Sus scrofa: one gene and its partners. The protein of the gene in region 1 interacts with the protein of each later gene in a biochemical or structural test. Links are inferred from orthologs where the notes say so. Each region holds a gene or a part of one and is shown on either strand. Other genes may lie near its edges. The genes, in order: BCL2L1, SIVA1, HRK, VDAC1 and PMAIP1.

Evidence for each region.
Region 2: the proteins of BCL2L1 (region 1) and SIVA1 form a complex in vitro, tested with the Homo sapiens proteins (2 studies listed by BioGRID and IntAct). The link is inferred for Sus scrofa from reciprocal best matches to the Homo sapiens genes BCL2L1 and SIVA1.
Region 3: the proteins of BCL2L1 (region 1) and HRK interact in a biophysical measurement, tested with the Homo sapiens proteins (3 studies listed by BioGRID and IntAct, with this or other methods). The link is inferred for Sus scrofa from reciprocal best matches to the Homo sapiens genes BCL2L1 and HRK.
Region 4: the proteins of BCL2L1 (region 1) and VDAC1 form a complex in vitro, tested with the Homo sapiens proteins (4 studies listed by BioGRID). The link is inferred for Sus scrofa from reciprocal best matches to the Homo sapiens genes BCL2L1 and VDAC1.
Region 5: the proteins of BCL2L1 (region 1) and PMAIP1 interact in a biophysical measurement, tested with the Homo sapiens proteins (3 studies listed by BioGRID and IntAct, with this or other methods). The link is inferred for Sus scrofa from reciprocal best matches to the Homo sapiens genes BCL2L1 and PMAIP1.

Annotation. Positions count from the first base shown.
Region 1 is NC_010459.5:35,412,950-35,417,191, reverse strand, and holds the start of BCL2L1 (bcl-2-like protein 1), read left to right. Parts: upstream 1-1,395; 5' UTR 1,396-1,528; exon of another isoform or gene 1,529-1,642; intron 1,643-1,760; exon of another isoform or gene 1,761-2,741; intron 2,742-2,819; exon of another isoform or gene 2,820-2,947; intron 2,948-3,021; 5' UTR 3,022-3,151; coding exon 3,152-3,715; intron 3,716-4,242. UniProt on the Homo sapiens protein: Potent inhibitor of cell death. Inhibits activation of caspases. Appears to regulate cell death by blocking the voltage-dependent anion channel (VDAC) by binding to it and preventing the release of the caspase activator, CYC1, from the mitochondrial membrane.
Region 2 is NW_018084979.1:3,028,605-3,032,614, reverse strand, and holds the start of SIVA1 (apoptosis regulatory protein Siva), read right to left. Parts: upstream 2,834-4,010; 5' UTR 2,765-2,833; coding exon 2,647-2,764; intron 634-2,646; coding exon 439-633; intron 1-438. UniProt on the Homo sapiens protein: Induces CD27-mediated apoptosis. Inhibits BCL2L1 isoform Bcl-x(L) anti-apoptotic activity. Inhibits activation of NF-kappa-B and promotes T-cell receptor-mediated apoptosis.
Region 3 is NC_010456.5:35,611,701-35,615,375, reverse strand, and holds the start of HRK (activator of apoptosis harakiri), read right to left. Parts: upstream 2,457-3,675; 5' UTR 2,302-2,456; coding exon 2,026-2,301; 3' UTR 1,970-2,025; intron 1,784-1,969; coding exon of another isoform or gene 1,739-1,783; exon of another isoform or gene 1,651-1,738; intron 1-1,650. UniProt on the Homo sapiens protein: Promotes apoptosis.
Region 4 is NC_010444.4:136,317,767-136,321,872, forward strand, and holds the start of VDAC1 (voltage-dependent anion-selective channel protein 1), read right to left. Parts: upstream 2,843-4,106; coding exon 2,776-2,842; intron 2,249-2,775; coding exon 2,199-2,248; intron 1,086-2,198; coding exon 933-1,085; intron 845-932; coding exon 792-844; intron 1-791. UniProt on the Homo sapiens protein: Non-selective voltage-gated ion channel that mediates the transport of anions and cations through the mitochondrion outer membrane and plasma membrane.
Region 5 is NC_010443.5:161,185,323-161,189,560, reverse strand, and holds the start of PMAIP1 (phorbol-12-myristate-13-acetate-induced protein 1), read left to right. Parts: upstream 1-1,422; 5' UTR 1,423-1,599; coding exon 1,600-1,663; intron 1,664-4,238. UniProt on the Homo sapiens protein: Promotes activation of caspases and apoptosis. Promotes mitochondrial membrane changes and efflux of apoptogenic proteins from the mitochondria. Contributes to p53/TP53-dependent apoptosis after radiation exposure. Promotes proteasomal degradation of MCL1.

The DNA of each region.
Region 1 (4,242 bases):
TTTTTATTTTTATTATTATTTTTTCTTTTTAGGGACTCAGCTGCAGCATATGGAAGTTCCCAGGCTCAAGGTCGAATCAGCACTGCAGCTGCCAGCCTATGTTACAGCCGCAGTAATGCCAGATCTGAGCTACATCTGCGACCTACACTGCAGCTCTGGCAATGCCGGATCCTTCACCCATTGACTGAACCCAAATCCTCATGGACGCTTAACCCGCTGAGCCACAGTGGGAACTCCTCCAATATCCTATTTTTAATCAATTAAATTACCACAAAATTAATTGATTAATTCACTTCCATGGTCAACTTTCCAACCAATGACCTCTCATAACACATTTGCCCTCCTTTGGTCACACTGCTTCTCCTTCAGCTTCTAAAACATCCCAAGATCTTCCTGCCTCAGGACACTTTGCGCAAGCTATATCCTCTGCCTAGGCTGATGTTCTCTAAACTCTTCCGACGGGTGGCATTTCCTTACACTTCAGATCTTCGGTTCTAAGTTATCCCTTTGAAGAGGCCATCCCTGGCACCCTACACAAACAATTGAAAGAACACTTGAAAAAAATGACTCTCTTGGAGTTCCCACTGTGGCTGAGTGGCTTAAGAACCTGACTAGTATCTGTGGGAATGGGAGTTGGATCCCTGGTCTCACTCAGGGGGATAAGGATCCAGCATTGCTGTGGCTGTGGCGTAGGCCAGCAGCTGCAGCTCTGATTCGACCCCTAGCCAGGGAACTTCCATATGCTGCAGGTGCGGCTCTAAAAAAAAAAAAAAAGAAAAAAATGTCCCTCTTCCTCACTGGGCAGGGAGGGCGAGGCTTACATCCCTGACCACCCACTCTAAAGGAGCACCTCTTTCTTCACCCTCTTTACGACAATACCCTGATTTGCTTTGTTCAGAGCACTAGTCACTATCTGAAATTACCTTGTTTGTTTTCTTAGTTGTTTACTCTCTCCATCTCAAGGGTTTAAGCCTCTATGAAAACATGGGCCGTGTCTTGTTCCTAACTCCATTTTCAGCAACCCAAACAATAAACATTTGCTAAATGAAATTATGCAGCATGTACCATAGACTTCACAAAGAACAACTCAAATCAATCACAGTAACTCAATGAGGGAGATTGGTTTTTACTCACATTACGTACGGTTAAGGATAATCGAGACACAGCGGTTGAGTAACTTTCCCAGTTAGCAAGGTTGGAATCCCAGACACAAGATTCTTGCCACGACGCGATGCTTTTTCGACATATAAACTAACCAGTGGATGAAACTGGCTAAATGAATGAATGAATGGAAACGTGAATGTAAACGTTTATCCTTTTTTGTCTCCGGATTCCCCAGCTCTACCGCAAGGGGGCGCTCTCGCCAAGGTCTTGACGCCAGTACTTAAAGGCGCGCACTCCCCTTGCGTCTCGGGCTCGCGCGCGCTGCCGCGGCACCGGAAGTGACTGAGGTTGCAAGTTCCCCCGGTCTCTTCAGGGGAAACTGAGGCCGGCTCGTTCGGAAGAGACAGCGCGAGCCACCAGCCAGGTAGGCCGGCCCAGGTCCGCGGCGCAGAACTCTGCCGCGAAGAGCGGTCGCGTCTGGAAACTACCTGGCCGATGAATGGGGGATGTGGCCCCCCATGGCTCGCGGGGCTCGCAGGTGAGAGCGCCGCCTCCCCTGTGCGTGGCAGGCGCTGCGCCCAATGGGAGCCCTCGCCGTCCTGCTTCCGTGCCACCTGGGCTCGCTGATTGGCCGCGCTGGGGCGGGCCGCCGGGGGCGAGACCCCTCCTCCCAGAAAGGTCTAGGGGGCGCCCCAGAGGGAGAGCGGTTGCCTAGCAACGGGGCGGTGGCCGGGCGGGTACCCGGCCTAGCGCGCGGAGGGAGCCGCGAGTCCGCAGCCCACCCACCCTGGGCTCGGGAGAGGTGCAGACCCCTGCCTCTAAACCCTCGCCAGGGCGCGAGGAAGCCACCCTGGGCCTGTCCACAGGAGAACGTGGTTTCAGCTGTGGGGGGGCCTCGAGGAGGCCTCGCCCATTCTCCCTGACCCGAGGAGAGGCCCGGCGCCTCACCCTCGCCCAGTCTTTGTGCCGGGCGCCGGCGGCCATTGTGTCCGTGCGGGGAATGGAGGACCCGGCAGCCCCCCACCGCCACGACCAGGGCCTTTGGGGAATTCAGAGAAAGCCAGCAGCGTTTCTGGGGGGTCCCCGGCTTTCCGCCTCCCTGAAAGGCCCGGGGATGGCCTTTCCGAAGTCAGACCGCAGATACGAGGCAGTTTCCCCCTCCCTCCGTCCCTCATCGAAACCTTGAGCCCCATTGAGAAGTCCCTTTAGGGTTTCAGTAAACCTCACCCTGGGCTGGTACTTAAATAGAAGAAAAACAAAAACTAAATCTCACACCAGCCACCTCCGGGAGAGTTCTCCTGGCTCCCAGTAGGAGGCGGAGAGCCAAGGGGCGTGCAAGAGCAAGGGGGCTGGGCTCCCGGGCCGCGGCTGCTGAAGCGGCCGCCCTCGATCTGGGCGATGGAGGAGGAAGCAGGCGAGGGGGCCGGTTCCTGAGCTTCGTAATTCCTGTATCGCCTTCTGGGCTCTCAGTCTGCCGGGTCGCATGATCCCTCCAGCCGGAGCTGCTTTTTTTGCCAGCCGCCGCGAGGCCGGCTGAGTTACCGGCATCCCGGCTGCCACCTCCTCTCCCGACCTCTGATACAAAAGATCTTCCGGGGGCTGCACCTGCCTGCCGGTCGCCTGAGACGGATTTGAATGTAGGTGGTGCGGGGGTGGGGGGTGGGGGACAGACTGCCCATGGGGGTGACTTTCCGAGGAAGACATTTCGGAGAAAAGGGGGTGGCTGAGGCTTAAAGGCCGGTGTGATGATTCAGAGCCCACTGGTGCTTTCAATTTGACTTTATTGAAGTCCCTTGGAAGCCAGACCCAGACCTTCCTAAGAGCCACAAAAGACCCCATTCTGGTACCTGGAGGGGGAATGGATGTTGCAGGGTAAATGGCATGCATGTTAATTTTTTTTTTTTTTTTTTTCTGAAGCTCTTTCTCTCCCTTCAGAACCTTATCTTGGCTTTGGATCTCAGAAGAGAACCACTAAGCAGAGACCAGACTCAGTGAGTGAGCAGGTGTTTTGGACAATGGACTGGTGGAGCCCATCCCTATTATAAAAATGTCTCAGAGCAACCGGGAGCTGGTGGTTGACTTTCTCTCCTACAAGCTTTCCCAGAAAGGATACAGCTGGAGTCAGTTTACTGATGTGGAAGAGAACAGAACTGAGGCCCCAGAAGGGACTGAATCAGAAGCGGAAACCCCTAGTGCCATCAATGGCAACCCATCCTGGCACCTGGCGGACAGCCCCGCGGTGAATGGAGCCACTGGCCACAGCAGCAGCTTGGATGCCCGGGAGGTGATCCCCATGGCTGCAGTGAAGCAAGCGCTGAGGGAGGCGGGCGATGAGTTTGAACTGAGGTACCGGAGGGCATTCAGTGACCTGACGTCCCAGCTCCACATCACCCCAGGGACAGCGTATCAGAGCTTTGAGCAGGTAGTGAACGAACTCTTCCGGGATGGGGTGAACTGGGGTCGCATTGTGGCCTTTTTCTCCTTCGGTGGGGCACTGTGCGTGGAGAGCGTAGACAAGGAGATGCAGGTATTGGTGAGTCGGATCGCAACTTGGATGGCCACTTACCTGAATGACCACCTAGAGCCTTGGATCCAGGAGAACGGCGGCTGGGTAAGGACCACGCCCCTTGTGGTGTCCCTGTTCCTTGGTCTCAGGTCAGATCCCCAACAGCCTTTCCTCTGTACCTCTTTCTGTCGCGCTGTGTGATTATTGGAGATGTTGTTTGTTAAGGAGATGTGACTGGCCTCACTGCAGCACAAGACGCTAACTGTCCTGAAATACAGATGACCTAGTTCTGCAAGGACCAGACAGCTTCGTTCTGGTCATCCCCATGACCCTACCCTTTCAGACTTGTGTCCAATTTCTCTGCAGAGGAAAACATAGCCTGTGTGTTCATTGGGCCCCAAACCTTTGCGGGTGGCGGGTTAGTCCGGTGTTTCCCTGACCCTGACGTAATGGCTCCCCTCGCTAAGGGTAACACCTGCAGGAGACGGTATCAGTGACCCACCAGTCCCTTCAGTCTTACTCCCCCTGGGATGTCAATCCTGTCCTGGGCTTCCCTCCCCCAGATGGAGTCCCCTGTGTTTCAGAGTTGGCATGACCAGGCAGGGAGTTCCCACTGGCTTAGATGGCTGAGG
Region 2 (4,010 bases), on another chromosome or scaffold:
CCTGTCAGCCCAAAGGGACCCAGAGTGCTGGGGGCCCCCAACTCCCCACCTGAGAACGAGGCGACCCTCCTCCCGCACCTGACCTACCATGAGGTGCTCCGGACAACCGGTGCGTGAGCACAGCACACAGCCGGTTTCACCAGGGAGGGCGCCCGGTGCCCGGACCCCCGCCCCACGGCTCCCGACGGCTGGTGCCAGTGTCCCTTCTGCGGCTCGGGGGAGCACAGAGGTTCCTGCACCACCCAGACTGGGGGTGAGGGAGTTTCTAACCAGCAACCCAGGTGACAGTCTGGGATGCACACCACGCTGCGCAGGGACCCAAATAGCCTCTCCCCACCTAGACGGGACCCAGTGCCCGCCGGCCCAGGTAGGAAACACACTGAGAATAAAGGGAACGCCCTTGCCATGTCCCAAGCGCACCTGCAGGGCCCCACTCACCAGCTTCAGAGGCCTGGGCTCGGCTCCTGGTCAGTCGGCCGTCGGGCCCGATGAGCATCTGCCCCCGCGAGGCCCGAGGGGCTTCCGTGGGGCCGGGCTTCGGGGATTCCGGCAGGTCAACGGTGGCACAGCCCTCCTCCCACGCGTGGTCCATGTAGGCCTGGGCCCCTCGGAAGAGGAGCTGGGTGGTCTTCTCTGGGGAAGAGGAGTCACTCCTCCGTTTCCACCCCGCACAGCCTCCTTGTCCTGTGGGCTGCGCCCAGCCAGGCCTCGGAGCTGTCATCCAGCCACCAGGACAACGCTGTGCCCTGGCGAGCTGGGTCCCACCTTCCCCTCCTGCCTGGGCTCAGCGGCCACCTCCTCCAGGAAGGCTCTGGACTCCGCAAGCCCCTCCGGGCTCCTCTCCTGTCACTCTGCTCGTTTTCCACACGGTGGCCTCACATGCTTGCTGTCCCTTTCGGCCTTCGCACCCAGCAGCCAGCTTCGTTCCTGTGCAGCACCCAGCCCCGGCTGGTACACACCCCTTCCCCGACCTTGGAGCTGCGGGCCAAAGACATGGCAGCAACGGGCTCCTGACAAGTACTCCAGAATTCTCGAGACCTCTGTGGGTCCTGGACAGACAGTCCCACCCTCGGAGCTGAGGTGGTGTCTCAGCACCTAGAGCAGTGGCTTTCCATCAGGGCTGGGGGCTTTCGCAGGGTCAAATGCCAGGCGCCAGCCCCAGAAATGCATTGTCTGTGGTTCTCTGCCGTATCCCAACAGAGCCAGGGAGGCGCGCTTAGAAGCTGGCAGCGCTCTGTGACTGACAGAAACGAGCTGCTGGGTGACAGAGCTTGAGTGGCTGGTGACAGCCCCAGCACCCTCCCCCTTGGAGCAGGATGGGAGGATTGAGGGGAAACCAGCCCCCCCCCTCCAAGGCCTGTGGTCCATCAAGATAAAGAGGCCACGGTCAGGCTTGGCATTCACTACCCCTGAGTTCACACAGGCCACCTTAGGTCCTGCCCTCGGGAAATGTCCGGGAAGCCCAGCAACCCCCCCCCCCCCCACGGGCCTGTGAGGGACAAGCCCCTGCAAACCTTGACACTGTGGTCAAGGAAGGTCAAAAACCAGCCTGACTTAATCCCTATCAACTTTTAATTCTTCCGCCTGCAGTGTTTACGTTTTTTGACTGTCCAGGGCGGGAATAACGGTTGAGCACCCACAGCTTCACTCATTTCTATTGCCTGCGTGGCCTCGGAAAGGATTTGCATTTGCAACCCCAGTGTGCAAGGAAAAAAGGCAGAGCAGCTGCTGAGGGGGGCGGTGGGCTGGGCTGGGGGAGCAGGAGAGAGAGAAGCAGGGTCTCCCCCGGCTAGGCTCTTCCCCACACCCCTAAAGCACAGCAGCATCGCTCAATTACAAACACTCCGGCCACAAACCTCGGGCCCTCAACCACCAGATAAAGCAAACTCCACGGTGGATGAACCACCCCAGAGGGGTGATCAACAGCACCCGTGCACCTAAAAATCGGCATGACCCAGTCAGACGAGAAGGCCTCCGAGCTCGCTGCCCTCACAGGTCTGACCTGGACAGTCCAGCTACCCTGAGCCCTGCTGCACTCTGCTGCTTCCTGGTTTTCGCGTAGGCTGTTCCCTCTGCCTGCAATTCCCTTCCTCTCCCTCTCTGCCTGCCTATCTCTGCAGGACTCTCTTTCTCCATGAGACCACTGACAGCCTGCAGGTGGTCCTGCAGCACCCCGTCGCTGCCCTGATGACCTCTGGCACGTCCTTCTCTGGCAGGTCCCCCCACTAGACTGGGAGGCAGGGTCTCCTGCGCAGCTGCAGCGCCTGGCAGAGAAGGCGCGCTCCAGAAATACGTCTGGGGTTAGAATGGGTACTGCTGCGGACTTGTTCCACCAGGACATCCCCCTCCCCGGCCTCCAAGTGCGCCTGAGGGATCTCAGTGCTGGTCGGACCAGGGCTGGTTACCGCGCGAGTCCGGCATCCCCACAAGACACAGCCCCGACTCGACACCACGCGGTTCAGAGAGGTGGGGGTGGCAGGGGACAGGAGGTAGCGTACAAGGGCTTACTCAGGACGCCCTACTCATTGCTCCCAAACCCCAGTCGGACAGCTAGCTCCGGACCCCCGGCTCCAGGGGGCGCGGCCCGCGGGGCCCGCCTGCCCCGGCCCCGCTTCGCAGCGAGAAACCCCTCAACCCGGCACTCACCGAAAATCTCCCGAGTGAGGCGCTCGGCGCACACGCCGCGACTCAGCTCCCTCTGGCCCACACGAACCTTGAGCTGTAGCGGGGCCGCGTCCGCGAAGGGGCAGCCCCGCTTGGGCATGGCCGCGGGCCCGGAGCGGCTCGGCTCGGCGGCCGCGCCTGGCCCGCCAGCGACGTCACGGCCGCGCGCCAACCCCCGCGAGGGGCGGGGGCGGGGCTCCTGCACGGCGCGACGCGGGATAGGCAGGGAGCGAGGGCGGGGCGGGGCTCGTGCGCGGCGCGACGCGGGATAGGCCGGAGCGAGGGCGGGGCGGGGCTCGTGCGCCGGGAGGCGGGACTCGGCGGCGCGGGAAAGTCCAGCAGAGGTCAAGGGTCGCAGTGGGCGCGCCGGGGGCGGGACTCGCGTTAGGCGCAGCCTGCAATAGGTCGGAGGCGAGATGGGGGTGGGACTCGTATGAGGCGGCACGTAAGGGCGGGCGTGCTGGGTTTTCTTTGTTGTTGCTCCCAAACAGCTCCGGAAGCTCTTATACGTCCTCGCATAAATCACTCAAAGTTCGAGGATGAGCCACTTTTCTTCAGTTTGGAGGAATTCCCCGCCCTCAAGAAGTGCAGAGTGAGGCCTTAACGCCCCGGGCACACTTCAGGGGCCGCCTCGCGGGCCCTACTTCCCCCTGCGGGGCAGGCAGGTGCCCTCCGCCGCACGAAGGTGCCTTTATACAGCCGAGTCATCGGGCTCCAGCCTGGCCACGACCCGAGCCCAGCTCCGCCTCGGCGGGCCAGCCACCCACTCAGCCTTCGACCGGCCAGCTCCCCTGTGGCCTGGATTTCCGGTGACGTGGCCGAGCCTTACAGGCCGAGTCCCACGTGACTCTACGTCACAGCCTGGAACCATCCCCGCGGGGAATGGGGCGGGACCAGTCTCTGATCACGTGGTCCTCGCTGCCTCTGCCTGGGTCCAGGGAGACCAGCTGACGGAGGGGGGCTGGAGACCTGTCTTCCTTGCTGCGTCGCCGGCCAGCCTGTGCACTGCTCTCGTAAGGATTCTACAGTCAGTTGTACCCGAACAGACGCTTGGCTTGTTGTATACGGGAAATAGATGAAACCCCGGAGTGTTGTTTTTAATCTTACATGTCTTGGGAATTTTATTTATTTATTTTTTATTTTTTTTTTACTACTCAATGAATTTATCACATCTGTAGTCGTATAATGATCACCACAATGTTTAAAAAATTTCACCTTTAGATTTGAAAGTGCCTTAAAGCTCTTTTAAGATACAATAAATAAATGCAAAACATTGTGATTAAAAGAGAACTTTGGTGGAGATCCCCTCCTGGCTCAGTGGGCTAAGAACCTGACTAGTATCCATG
Region 3 (3,675 bases), on another chromosome or scaffold:
TAGCCGCGTAGGTCCTCCCCGCGCCCGAGCGCAGACGGACGCGCTCCGTCCTTCCCGCGCGCCCCCGCGGAGGTCTCGGGCCACCTCCCATCTCCCCGGCGGCGGCCTCCTCCTGAGGACCCTGGAGCGCCCCTAGCCCCAACGCGCACACTTGGGCTGTGGCTGGGCACTCTCCAGTCCATGGGTAGGACGCCCAGCCTCCCGCACCGTCTGGTCCTGAGAAGGGAGCGCTTCCCCCACCTAGCCTGGGCCCCAAGACTGGAGGAAATGGTGTCCTAGCCCTTCTCCCCGTTTGTACTGGATTCCTCACGCTTCCCATTTTTCTAATCCCCGTTCCCACTATCTTGTCTTGCAAGAAGCCTCTTTCTCCAGCTCCCGCCACTTTCTTTCCTCGTCTAACCACCCGTTCTTTCTATCCCTCCTCTCCCACCTTCTTTCCGCTTTTCCCTAAATTACACACTTTGGGCGTCGCGTCTTGCTTGACTACCTCTTTCGGCCCTCCCTCCCCCGCTCCGTCCCATCCAAAATGTTTCTGTCCCTAGGATCCGGGGCAGACCTAACTTGGTCCACTGAGGCGGAGGGCAGCCCCGGGCCTCTCTTCAGGGAGGAGGAGAAGCGCATGGGATCTCTGGGAGCCGGGCAAAGAGCGCCCTGAAGCGCACACCTCTCTCAGGCAGCGCCAGGGCTGCGCCGGCCCACGCGACATCTGTCGCCCGCGCTCCCGGCTCACACCCCGCGCACCCCCGCAGCTTCCCGGGCGCTGCCACCCCCCACGCTCCGGCTGCCGCCTCTCCCTGCGGGCGCCGCGCCAGCTTCCTATGGTGTTGGCTCACGGTGGGACTCGGCCGAGACCCGAGCGCTTGGCATCTGTGAGCCATGGCATCCCGGGGCTGGGTTTCTCACCTTCGACCTTCAGCTTCCGGCCCTGGACCCACCTTTGGTGGGCTCAGCCCTGTTCTCTCCACCCCCATTCTCTTCAGCTCTTTGAGAATCTGAAGACAATGCTTACACGTTTGCCCCCTTTAAGCGCCCTAGCACAGTGTCAGGCGCACAGCTGGTGCTCAGTAATTCCCCAAGGCCTAGGGGCCTAGTATACAGTAGGTGCTTAGTACTTTTTTCCCACTGGTACCAAACGGCTAGGCGCGCAATACTCACTCCCCACCCCCACAACCTATCCTACTGCAGGCTCTTAACAGGGCCTCGAACCCAAAGTGAGCACAGTTAATGCTCTTTCTTAAAGGCTTCCCCCTGGAGTTTCCCGAAAAGTCTGAGATCCCACATCACTTAGGGGGCATCTCCTTCATCTCAGCTCCCTCTATCCCGCGAAGAGGAGGGCAAGCTCCTTAAAAGGGACACCTCGCTGGAGAAGGAGTGAAGTTGGCAGAGCGGAGGAAAACTGCAAAGTTTTAGGGAGAAAGACGGAGGGGGAGGAAGTCACGAGATGCGCTTGGGGCGCGGGAGGACGAGCAACAGAAACTGGAGAAGTGATACTTAGGGAGAAGGAGGTTTGGGGCGGAGGTGATGGAGAGGGTGGCGAGTTAGGAACGGCAGGCGGCTTGGAAGAGGACCGAGGACTCGTCTTGAAACCGCGATAGTTTATAATGCGTTGGCGTGGCCTGTAACTCTGTTCTCATAGCAAGCACACTTTTAATTTGCATTGTGTGTTTGTTTGAAGGGGTGATGAGGCTTACGGAGGCTGAAGTCCTTCCAAAGCCACTCGGATGGAGGGAGTGGCAAGATGCTCTTAAGGAGTCGGAGAGAAGGGGCAGCAGCGGTGGACTCGGTAGGTACTTGGAAGGAGAGATGGGATCTCCCAAGGAGAGGGACAGAGATCCTTGCGAAAGAATGGAGCAGAGGAAGAGGAGATGGGAAGGGAAGAGAGCTAAACTTGCGGTTCTCCAGCTCCCAACCCAGCCCCAGGTCTCCAATCCCCCAGCTGCCGCGCCCTGGCGGTCGCTTGCTCACGTACCTGTTGCTCGCTCCGGCTGGGTCTCGGCTCCGGCCCCACCATGAAGCCCCGCGTTCCTACAAGTTCCGCCTGCCGAGCAGCCAGGCTGCCAGCGCCGCCACCTGCGCGGCCGCGCACAGCCAGGGCCAGTAGGTGGGGAGCGCGCCGGGCGCCGGCGCCCTCCGGCTCCGCGCGCTGCGCCGCCACATGGTGCGCTGGTGCAGCTCGTCGCCGAGCGCCTTGAGCCGGGCGGCAGTGAGCTGCGCGGCGGAGGAGCGCAGACCCAGGCGGCTCGCGCTGCAAGCGCACACGGCTGGGGGGCCGCGGCCGCGGTGCAGGGGGCACGGACACATGACCGCTCGCCTCGGTCCCTCCCCGCGTCGGGCCGCCCCTCGCCTCCTCTCGCTTCGGCCTCTGCGCCTGCCTCCGCCGCGCTCCAGCCGCCGGGGGCCTACCCTGGACACCAAGTTTCTCCTTGTGTTGTGCGTTTGTTGTGCTGACGGCGCTATTATTAATTAAAGTGTCACATGGTGGAGGGGGGCGGGGAGGGCGCGGGGAGGGGGGTTACATCATCCGGCCCCCCGGGGGTGGGGGGGCTGCAGGCAGAAGAAACCGAGAGGTAACTTTTAACCCTAGCGGCGCCGGCCGCGAGGGGGTTTTCGGGTTGGGAAGCGAGGAGCGCGGGGCTCTGGGACGCGGGAAAGCACCCGGCTGCGGGGCTCTCGGGCTTGGGGGTCGCGGGAGACCCCCGCGGAGGCGGGGAGCGCCAGGGAAGATTTTCTCTCCGTTTTTTCTGAATTCAGCTTCAATTCCGATTTGGCGAGAGGAGTAGGCTTGTTTGCCGTTTTGGATGAAGCTGATATCGAATTCAGCTGCATTATTCAAAAAATGTTCCGAGGCTATTGTTTTGTTTGGGGCGGTAGGTCGATTCAAAATCTCATGAGAGGGCCAGATTCAACCCAATTTGCTTACTTTCAGGTCTGACTCCGCACCTGTAGGTTGCGGATCAGCCGATACACACCCGACTCCCCATCTAAGTTAGGGTGGATGAGAGACTCTAAAGAGCCCCTAGCTCCCCTAGAAACGTTGATGGACGCAGGGGTGAGGAGGGTTAGGGAGTCGGCCCTTAGCCTCAGCGATTCGCAAGCACACCGCGCTTCAATCCCAAAGACCCTCGCAAGGGGTTTTCCAGAAGGAACTTTGTTTTGTTTGCTCCCTTTGTGAATTTTATTTGCCTGTTGGGGTTAATGATCCGGATTTAATGCTCAGTGGAGACTCTTAAGGGATTGGTGGGGTCGAGGATGCGGGGTGCAGGGGACTTCAGCCCCTTTCTCTCCAATCGTAGAATGGTTTTATACTGTCCCCATGCTCCTCCAGACTAGAAAACGTGAAGTTGTCTCTGCTGGTGAAGGAATAGAAGGGCGAGGGGCTCTTAGGATTCTTTGGGGAGCAAGTGAGACTTTCACCTGTCTTCAAAGCACTGGGATTCAGAAAATTGGAGGATCTCAGAGGTGGCTCCAAGCCAGCCTCCTAGGTCCTGATAAGGCAGCTCTGAGCCTCTTCTTCCCACCAGCAGAGTGCTGCCACTTGGAAAAGATTCTTCAAGAGTGTGAATTTAGAATGGGTCTGACTTTATCATGGAGAGATTTCTGCTTGGCCTGCAACTTGGTCAGAGCTCAGATCCCAGCCCTGCCCTGTGATCCTGGTGGCTCTTAGACCCATCCAGC
Region 4 (4,106 bases), on another chromosome or scaffold:
CAATGTGGGATCTGAGCCATGTCTGCAACCTACACTGTTGCTCATGGCAACACTGGATTCTTCACCCACTGAGCAAGGCCAAGGATCGAACCTGCATCCTCATGGATGTTAGTCAGATTCGTTAGCCACTGAGCCACAACGGGAACTCCCCGCCTTTCCTCCTGATAACCAACAAGTCTGATCTGTGTGTGGCCCCAGGGCCTGGAGCAAAAAAAGGCAGCCTCTGGAGCCACCTTGTAGTTAAGACCACATGCTCTCAGTGTCCCTAAGTAAGAAGGTGGGGAAAGGGCCATCAAGCCTAAGAAAGGGGGCTGGCCACAGGGACCCATTAGCCCCTGCTTCCCAGCGCCACCCCCTGGCCTTGGCTACTCACATTACCAGCAGCCTCAGTCCCAGGGAATGCAGCATTCCTGGACCAGAAATCCTGCAGCCTCCAAGCTGAGGCCAGCAGAACAATCACAGCACAGAATCTCACTATAAAACACAGCTAGGAATTCCCATCGTGGCGCAGTGGTTAACAAATCCGACTAGGAACCATGAGGTGAACTCAGTGGCTTAAGGATCCGGCGATGCCATGAGCTGTGGTCTAGGTCGCAGACACGGCTCGGATCCCACGTGGCTGTGGCCCTGGCGCAGGCCAGTGGCTACAGCTCCGATTCGACCCCTAGCCTGGGAACCTCTATATGCCACGGGTGTGGCCCTAGAAATGGCAAAGAAAAATAAAGAAATTAAATTAAATAAAAAAAGACACGGCTAGCTGTCCTTAGGGAGACGGTGGATGAGATTCTTACCCAGTGTTCGGTGAGAAGGATGAATCAAAGGTCAGCTTCAGTCCACGGGCAAGCTGAACAGAGAAGAAATTCGCCAGCAGGGTTAGTCACGAGACGGGCCGGCAGCCGCCCCTCAGTCACACCGCGTCTTTGGCGAGTTACCTGATCTTCCACGGTAATCTCCGTGCCCAGGGTGTTGTCGGTGTTCCACTTCTCTGTAAACGTCAGACCATATTCGGTCCATCTGTACTTGGTTTCCAGACTGCCCGTCACTTTGGTGGTCTCCGTGTTGGCTGAACCTGAGCTTGTAAATTCCTTTAAAAAAAAGAAAGAGGGTCACGGCCTGCATGCCAACGCTTCATTCTGCATCACGCCCCCCCTAAATGTTGGGAGCCCCGCAGCAAGTCCACGCCACCCCTACGTGGCCTCTGTTCTCCTTTAAGCAAGAGGTGACACCTTGCATGCGTGCAGGAAAAGCCTCACTCGATAATTCAATGAGATATTTCAAGTACAGATGGAGCCGGCTAATGAAAGGAATCTTACAGGGAATTCTTTTACTGGCCGTGCCCGAGGCATGCGAAAGTTCCCAGGCCAGGGACTGAACCGGTGCCACAGCAGTGGCCCGGAGCTGCTGCAGTGACAATGCCACATCCTTAACCTACTGCGCCACAAGGGAACTCCACTACAGAGAATTCTTTATCAGGACACGGCTTCCTTCCTCCCCTGTTAACGCTTCAGTCTGGACAGGAAGGCAATCCTTCCATCCCGCCTCCAGCCTAGAGAGAAAAAGCTTTTGAGCTAAAGCTGACGTGGCAGGAATTCAACCCGAAGTATCCTTCTTCGAACAATTACCACATGTACAATCTAAAAGAGACTAAGGTTTTTGTTTTAGGCATTCCCTTTGCGGCTCAGCAGTAATGAATCCGACTAGGAACCATAAGGTTGCAGGTTTGATCCCTGGCCTGGCTCAGTGGGTTAAGGATCCGGCGTTGCCGTGAGCTGTGGTGCAGGTTGCAGATGCCGCTCGGATCTGGCGTTGCTGTGGCTGTGGTGTAGGCCAGCAGCTACAACTCCAATTGGACCCCTAGCCTGGGAACTTCCATATGCCGTGGGTGTGGCCCTAAAAAAAAGCAAAAAAAGATTTTAAGTAATCACATGGTATGGAACAGAGGCTGATTCTGAAATAAGACGCATAAGGAAAAATAAAACTGAAGCCTGCCCCATATTCCTACTAGAATCCAGCTGAAGAAGTGGGGACCTGGTCACATGGTTCCCCTGGACCACAAATCCTACAAAGGATGCAATGCAAAGGACAGCTACAAGCTGCCACAATCAGAAGAGTCCCTTTGTTGGTCACCCCGAAGGAAGTTATTTTTTATATACTGATCTGCATAAATACCCATGCTCCGCGTGGGCCAGACAACTTACCAGTCCATTCTCAGATTTTGTTTTCAAATCAAGTTTTATTAGGCCAAATCCTAAAGAGAGGAGATGGTAGCTATTAGCAGGTTAAATAACTCACTCGAAAACAGCATCCCCGCCTCCCTCGGTCTGCTTTAACACGCTCTGAGTGTGAGGGCACCAGTCACCACTGCTGCGTGTGTTGGGGGGGGGCTGGTTGCCATGGAACCGTGGCCGACAGAACAGGCCCAGGCCCCACCTGCACGCCCAGCGGAGTCTGAGAAGAAGGTGCATGACCGCGTGGGCACATGTCTAAGGACAAGCTAAATTTAGAAGCTGCAATCCACTGCAGCGGCAGCCACAGACCTGCTCCCTGCCTGCGAGAGGAAACAAGAACGCCCGCTTGTTGGCAGCAATGTGCAAGCCCACCTGCACTGGGTGCACAACCACAACTGCTCGGCCAGCCGTAGAAGGCTTATCTTTTTTTCCCTGACATGAAAGGTCTGAGAGCGAGCTGACCCCAGTCTCTCAAACTCTGATGGGCAAAATCCCAAACATGCCACCCCCGCCTCCGAGCTGGAAGGCCACTCCGTGCGACACTCACCATAGCCCTTGGTGAAGACATCCCTGGCAGACTTGCCAAGATCGGCATACGTAGGAGGCACAGCCATCTTCTGCTGCCAGAAAAAAACCACCAAAATAAACACATTGGTAATTTCGGCTATGAGTTTCCACCAATAAAAATCATCAGCACTGAGTTCCCCCAGTGGCAGGCGGAGAGGCCTGTGCTGGCTGCTGCTTCTTTTTGTGACCAGAGCTTAAAATGCCCAATAAGTTTTATTGAGAGCAAACCAGCCTGACTTTTGGGGTTTGGGTTTTTGGTTTTTTTTTTTCTAGTTTTTTTGTTTGTTTGTTTGCTTTTTAGGGGCACACCGGCAGCATATGGAGGTTCCCAGGCTAGGGGTCTAATCGGAGCTGTAGCCCCCAGCCTACACCAGAGCCACAGCAATGCCAGATCTGAGCCACATCTGTGACCTACACCACAGCTCACGGCAACGCCGGATCCTTAACCCACTGAGTGAGGCCAGGGATCGAACCTGCATCCTCCTGGATGGTAGTCAGTTTCGTGAACCGCTGAGCCACAGCGGGAACGCCCAGCCTGACTTTGGACCTCTTCTCCTAGGCATCCCTGGGACTGAGCACAGGCCCAGAAGACGGGAGGAGTCAGGCAACATCAGCTAAATGAATTCACTGTCAAAGATGCATTCCCAGAAGGCAGCTACTTCACTCGACGGCAGGACTCTTGCCAATATAACGTATCTTCTTACAAAATATCGACTGCCAGGACATTAATACAACAAATAGAAATCAGAGCTTTTCAGAACAACTGATTTTCCCTAAGATTCGAATTTCATTCATTCAACAAATATTTATGGAGTCCCTACTGCGAGTCAGAATGGACCCAAATTACCCCAAAACTTGCATTTTACAGGAATCAACAGGGATATCATATTCTGCACTGAGAAAACAAACAAACAAAAAAAAAAACTGGAGTTCCTGTCCCAGCTTAGCAGTAACAAACCTGACCAGGATCCATGAGGACATGGGTTCGATCCCTGGCCTTGCTCAGTGGGTTAAGGATCTGGCGTTGCCGTGAGCCGTGGTGTGGGTCGCAGATACTGCTCGGATCCCACATTGCTGTGGCTGTGACGTAGGCCAGCAGCTGCAGCTCCAATTGGACCCCTAGCCTGGGCACTTCCATATGCCGTGGGTGTGGCCTTAAAAAGCAAAAAAAGAAAAAAACCAACAATAAAACCTAAGTAGGCAACTCTTCATAGGGAAGGAAATGCAACCACATCCCCCTCAAATTTGATTCAAACAAAAATTTATTGAATTCCATGATGACTTCATTTTTAAAACCAATTATCAAAGTAC
Region 5 (4,238 bases), on another chromosome or scaffold:
GAGTGACCCCGCCCAATGTCTCTCTACGGGGAATGGCAGCCTCCAGCCCGCTCTGCTCTTTAGGAAAACGGATCCTGCGTTGTCAGGAACTAATGATTTCCTAAAGGAAGCCAGAAATCTGGACTTTTAATGTAATCTCTCCATTTTTAAATGTTGGAAAACCAATTCGAATTTTCACAAGACATCTGGTAGACCAATACGGAGAACCAAACCAAGCACTTCTAGAAAGTCATGGAGCTCTAAGCAACCAATTTACAGCCTCTGCATTATTCAGGGCAGATAATAAAAGAACACTCTTTTTCTAAAACACTGATTCCTGGTAAGGCGGCAGTGGGTAAGAGGGCTTGCTCGGTATGGGCCTGCCAGGGTTCAGATTCTGCCACTGATCTCTGCCTGTGTGAGCTGAGGCAACTCGATCTCTGCAAATTTCAGCTTTTGAACCACACGATCTAAAGTGGCCACACGATGCTAAGAATGCCAGCTTGGTAGGGTAGTTCTGAGGACAGAATAGGAAATGCCTGCGGAATCCCTTAGCATGAAGGGGTCCTCAATACCTATGACCATTCCAAATGACTCCTCCTTTTTACAAAAACAAAAGTATTCAAGTGCCAGCCAAACATCGTGCAAATAACTTCCTATTCCCAGATTCCTCATTCTTTCCTCCACCAAAGCATTGAAAGTTTTCTACACGATGACCTACTCTTTTTTTGTGTTACTAAACATCTACAATGGTCAGGAGACCCATGGGGAATAAACGCTCTACTTTTTCAACCCAGCCGTGAATTAGTTAGCCCCCTCCCTCATTCACATTCCCTCCCCCTCCCAAATCTAAAGTGTTTGCTCGCGTGCTCCGAGTTTTCAATTTGCAACAATTTCCCAATAGTTTCAGTTTCAATCTGGTACTTTTCTCACTTGGCTTCTGGTACCATCTCTATGGTTATTAAAGTTTTCTTCATTTCACGTCCCAGAAACTTCCTAAGTTCTCGGAGTTTGAAAACTGTCCTCTTCTAAACTCTTTTCGGGGTTTGTTTACAGACGTCGCTAATTGCCCATTTCTGATAAGGACGAAGCTCCAGGATTCCCCATCCCCAACCTTCTGCTAGGAGAACCTTTCTCCGCTCGCGACTCCTACACCCCGACAAGTCTGCAGCTGACTCGTTTGTCAAGGAAGTAATTTCCAGGCTGGGCCTTGCCTCTCCCGCCAAGCTCCCGGCGCCCCCCGCCGCGGATCGGCGCCGCCGCAGGTCGCCAGCGGGTCCCGGCGGGTCGCGCTGCACCGCGCGCTGCGCTGGGCCAGTTACTCGCTCCCCCCGCCCCTTTGCGCGCTGGTCCGAGGGGGCGGGGACAGGGGCGGGCCCGGCGTCAAGTTTCTCTACGTCACTGGGAAGTCCCCATTAGGTCGGAGCGCGGGCAGCGGCGGGAGCGCCAACCTCAGAGGCTTTTGGGCGTTCAGGGTGTTGCTTTTCTAGCTCTCTCCCGCTTGCTCGCTTCTGCCCGACCGCCCCGCGCGCAGCCTGCTACCTGCAGAGCCAAGGTGCTCGGGTCCGGGGACTGAGTTCTCGGAGTTTTGCGGCAAAGTTCCGGCTGCTGTTTGCGGAGATGCCTGGAAGGAGGTCTCGTAGGAACACTCAGACGAACCCTACGCGGGTGGCCCTCCCGCCAGGTAGAGAGCAGCTGGGGCCCGCGGAGATCCTGACCCGGGGCGGAGGCTGGGGTCGAGGTCTCGGTCCGGGCGGAGTCACCCCATGTGCGCCGGGCCTCAAGGTCAGGCCGGCGCTGTGCCCTTGCACATGTTTTAGGGGCGCCGGCAGGAAGTTCTTTAGGGGTTTAACCGCGGACCGTGGATATGACCAGGGAGGGAGTCCGGCTTAGGGTTGGGATGCAGCAGCATTTCAGAGGATGCTGAGATCAGCTTTCCCATCCCCACTTGTTCTGCCCCTGGGCCATGGGAAGAAAAAGAGCAAGTACGGGCGCCAGCCACGCGGAGAAAGTCATTGCCATGGCGGGTGGGGCCGAGAGAGGCTCCAGGAGCTTCCTGGCCTCCCAGCGTTTTCTGAGGGAGGCCCTCTCCCTCCCGTATTCTGGATCTTTTGAGCCTTACCCCCCTACCCCAGGCAGTAATAATGCTTGATACTATCACAGGCCTTCCACAAAAAACTGACGGAGGGGTTGGAGGTCCCACAAGGACTGGTGAAATCAGGATAATAGAAAGTTTTTCTTCTTTGTTAGAAGTGTAACATTTTAACAATCGATATTAGCTGCAGAAATGGGGTAGGAGAACAGGAGTTGGTCCGCAATGTTTTTCAATCCACCCGTTCCTCTGCCCTTCCCCATCCGTGTACCTCATCAAATAATTTAAGGTCGGTTTCCTTATAAATCTTATCAAATGGAGCAGCCATCTGCTCCTAAGGAGCAGTTGCAAAGAAGGCAAATAAGTCTCTGAGCTGGAAATCTGTGTGGGTCATACTGCTGTTACATCAGATGGTAATAGGCCGTTTTATACTTAGTTTAACTTTTTAGAGCCCATGGACCGCTCAAAGGAAGTGGTGCATTGCCCGTGTGGTCATGGCAAAGCTGGCACCAGGCTGCTCTCTTGACTCTTGCTTGGGAGGGAAGAAACTTTGCCCGTCTTTTGTGCTGGCCCAGAAATCTGGCCATGTTTCAAAAAATTTCCCATCATCTTCAAGAGCCGACTTACTCCCTATTAATAAGAGACAGCAGAAAGGTCCCTCTTAAACTTGGTTAGACAGTAATACAGTAAAAACAACAAAAAAACAAACAAAACCAAAATTAAGGTATAAGTGACATGTAACATTGTATTAGTTTTAGATGTACACCATGATTTGATATATGTGTGTACTATGACATGATTACCACAGTAAGTTTAGTTAACATCGATCACCACACAGTTACATTTTTTATTAATACATTTATAGATGTAACAAAAAATTAATACATTTATAGATGTAAAAAACAAAAAGGAAAGAACTAGGTGCTATTATCTGCCCTTTTTAATGAAAGGGATAGTTTTTCCTCTTACAATTCAGGGCTTCCAAAATTGTATGCTAAGTGATAATTTGTTTCTGTTTTTGTTTTTTAGGATAGCATGTTAATATATTCCACTCACTGAAAAAAACATGTCTTTGTAGATACTTCTCCAAATGCTTGACGCCGTAGCCTATAAAGAAAGATAGCTTACAAGAGATTTATTAGGTCTCAGAGATTATATAAAGTTTTTTTTTTTAGGAATTATGAAAATTTAACTCAGCTCTTAGGAAAAGATAAATTGGTTGAAATGTAGGTTTAAAAATCCACTTTAATATATATTTACAGTTTTTGTTTATCTGAGCCTAAATAGGCTATCTGCAGGGTCTGCTTATAAAATAAATCAGATTTTAACTTACAGTCATAATTTTTAGTGTTTATAATCATGATGTTGAATTGAACCAAAAAGAAGCGGAATTGTTCTTGGAAATATCCAAGAAAATTGAAATTATGACCAGTATAGATTTGGTGTTAATTCCATCTACTTAAAAAGTTCACTTGGAAATTAGATTATAAAGATTCCCCCCCATACAATATCTTAAAAAGTAGTAAGTATATGAATTAAATATTACTTATTTTGTGCTTCACTTATCTCCATAAAGGCAATGGATTGGTACAGTTTGGGGAGACTTTGGCTTAGACTCATGTGTAAACTTATAATTATTTTAGAAAATGTGGACTTCATTTTGGAATAAGATTTTATGAATCCTTCAAGAGAAAATTTCATGAGGCTAAGAATACATTTAGATTTGCCTAGTATGAGGGCATAATTTGAGCTATGAATTATTGGTTGCCATTTACAAAATAAATTATACTCAAAAACAACATAGAAGAATTTAGAATTTGACTTGTCTCTAACCAATTTTAAATGAGAAAGAAAAGGATGACATCAGTTGGGTTGGCAAAGGCTTGCTGTTTGTGGTGTGTGACATAAATGTCTATATTTGAAAGTAAGATAACATTTGCCTCATCCAGGATTGCAAAATAAATGTCTTTATTCTTTAACTTTTGGTTGTTTATGAATCACCGTGTATTGGTGTATGTCACGTGTGTGTGTTTGAGAGGGGCAGCAAGTAGCCTTTCTCACATTTTAGAAAACAAGTGTGCTTAAAAGGTAAACGCTGGGATAAACACTCAACTTGTCTCTGGGATGAACGTTTTAACTCTTGCTGGTTGCCGTTTGCAATGTTGTC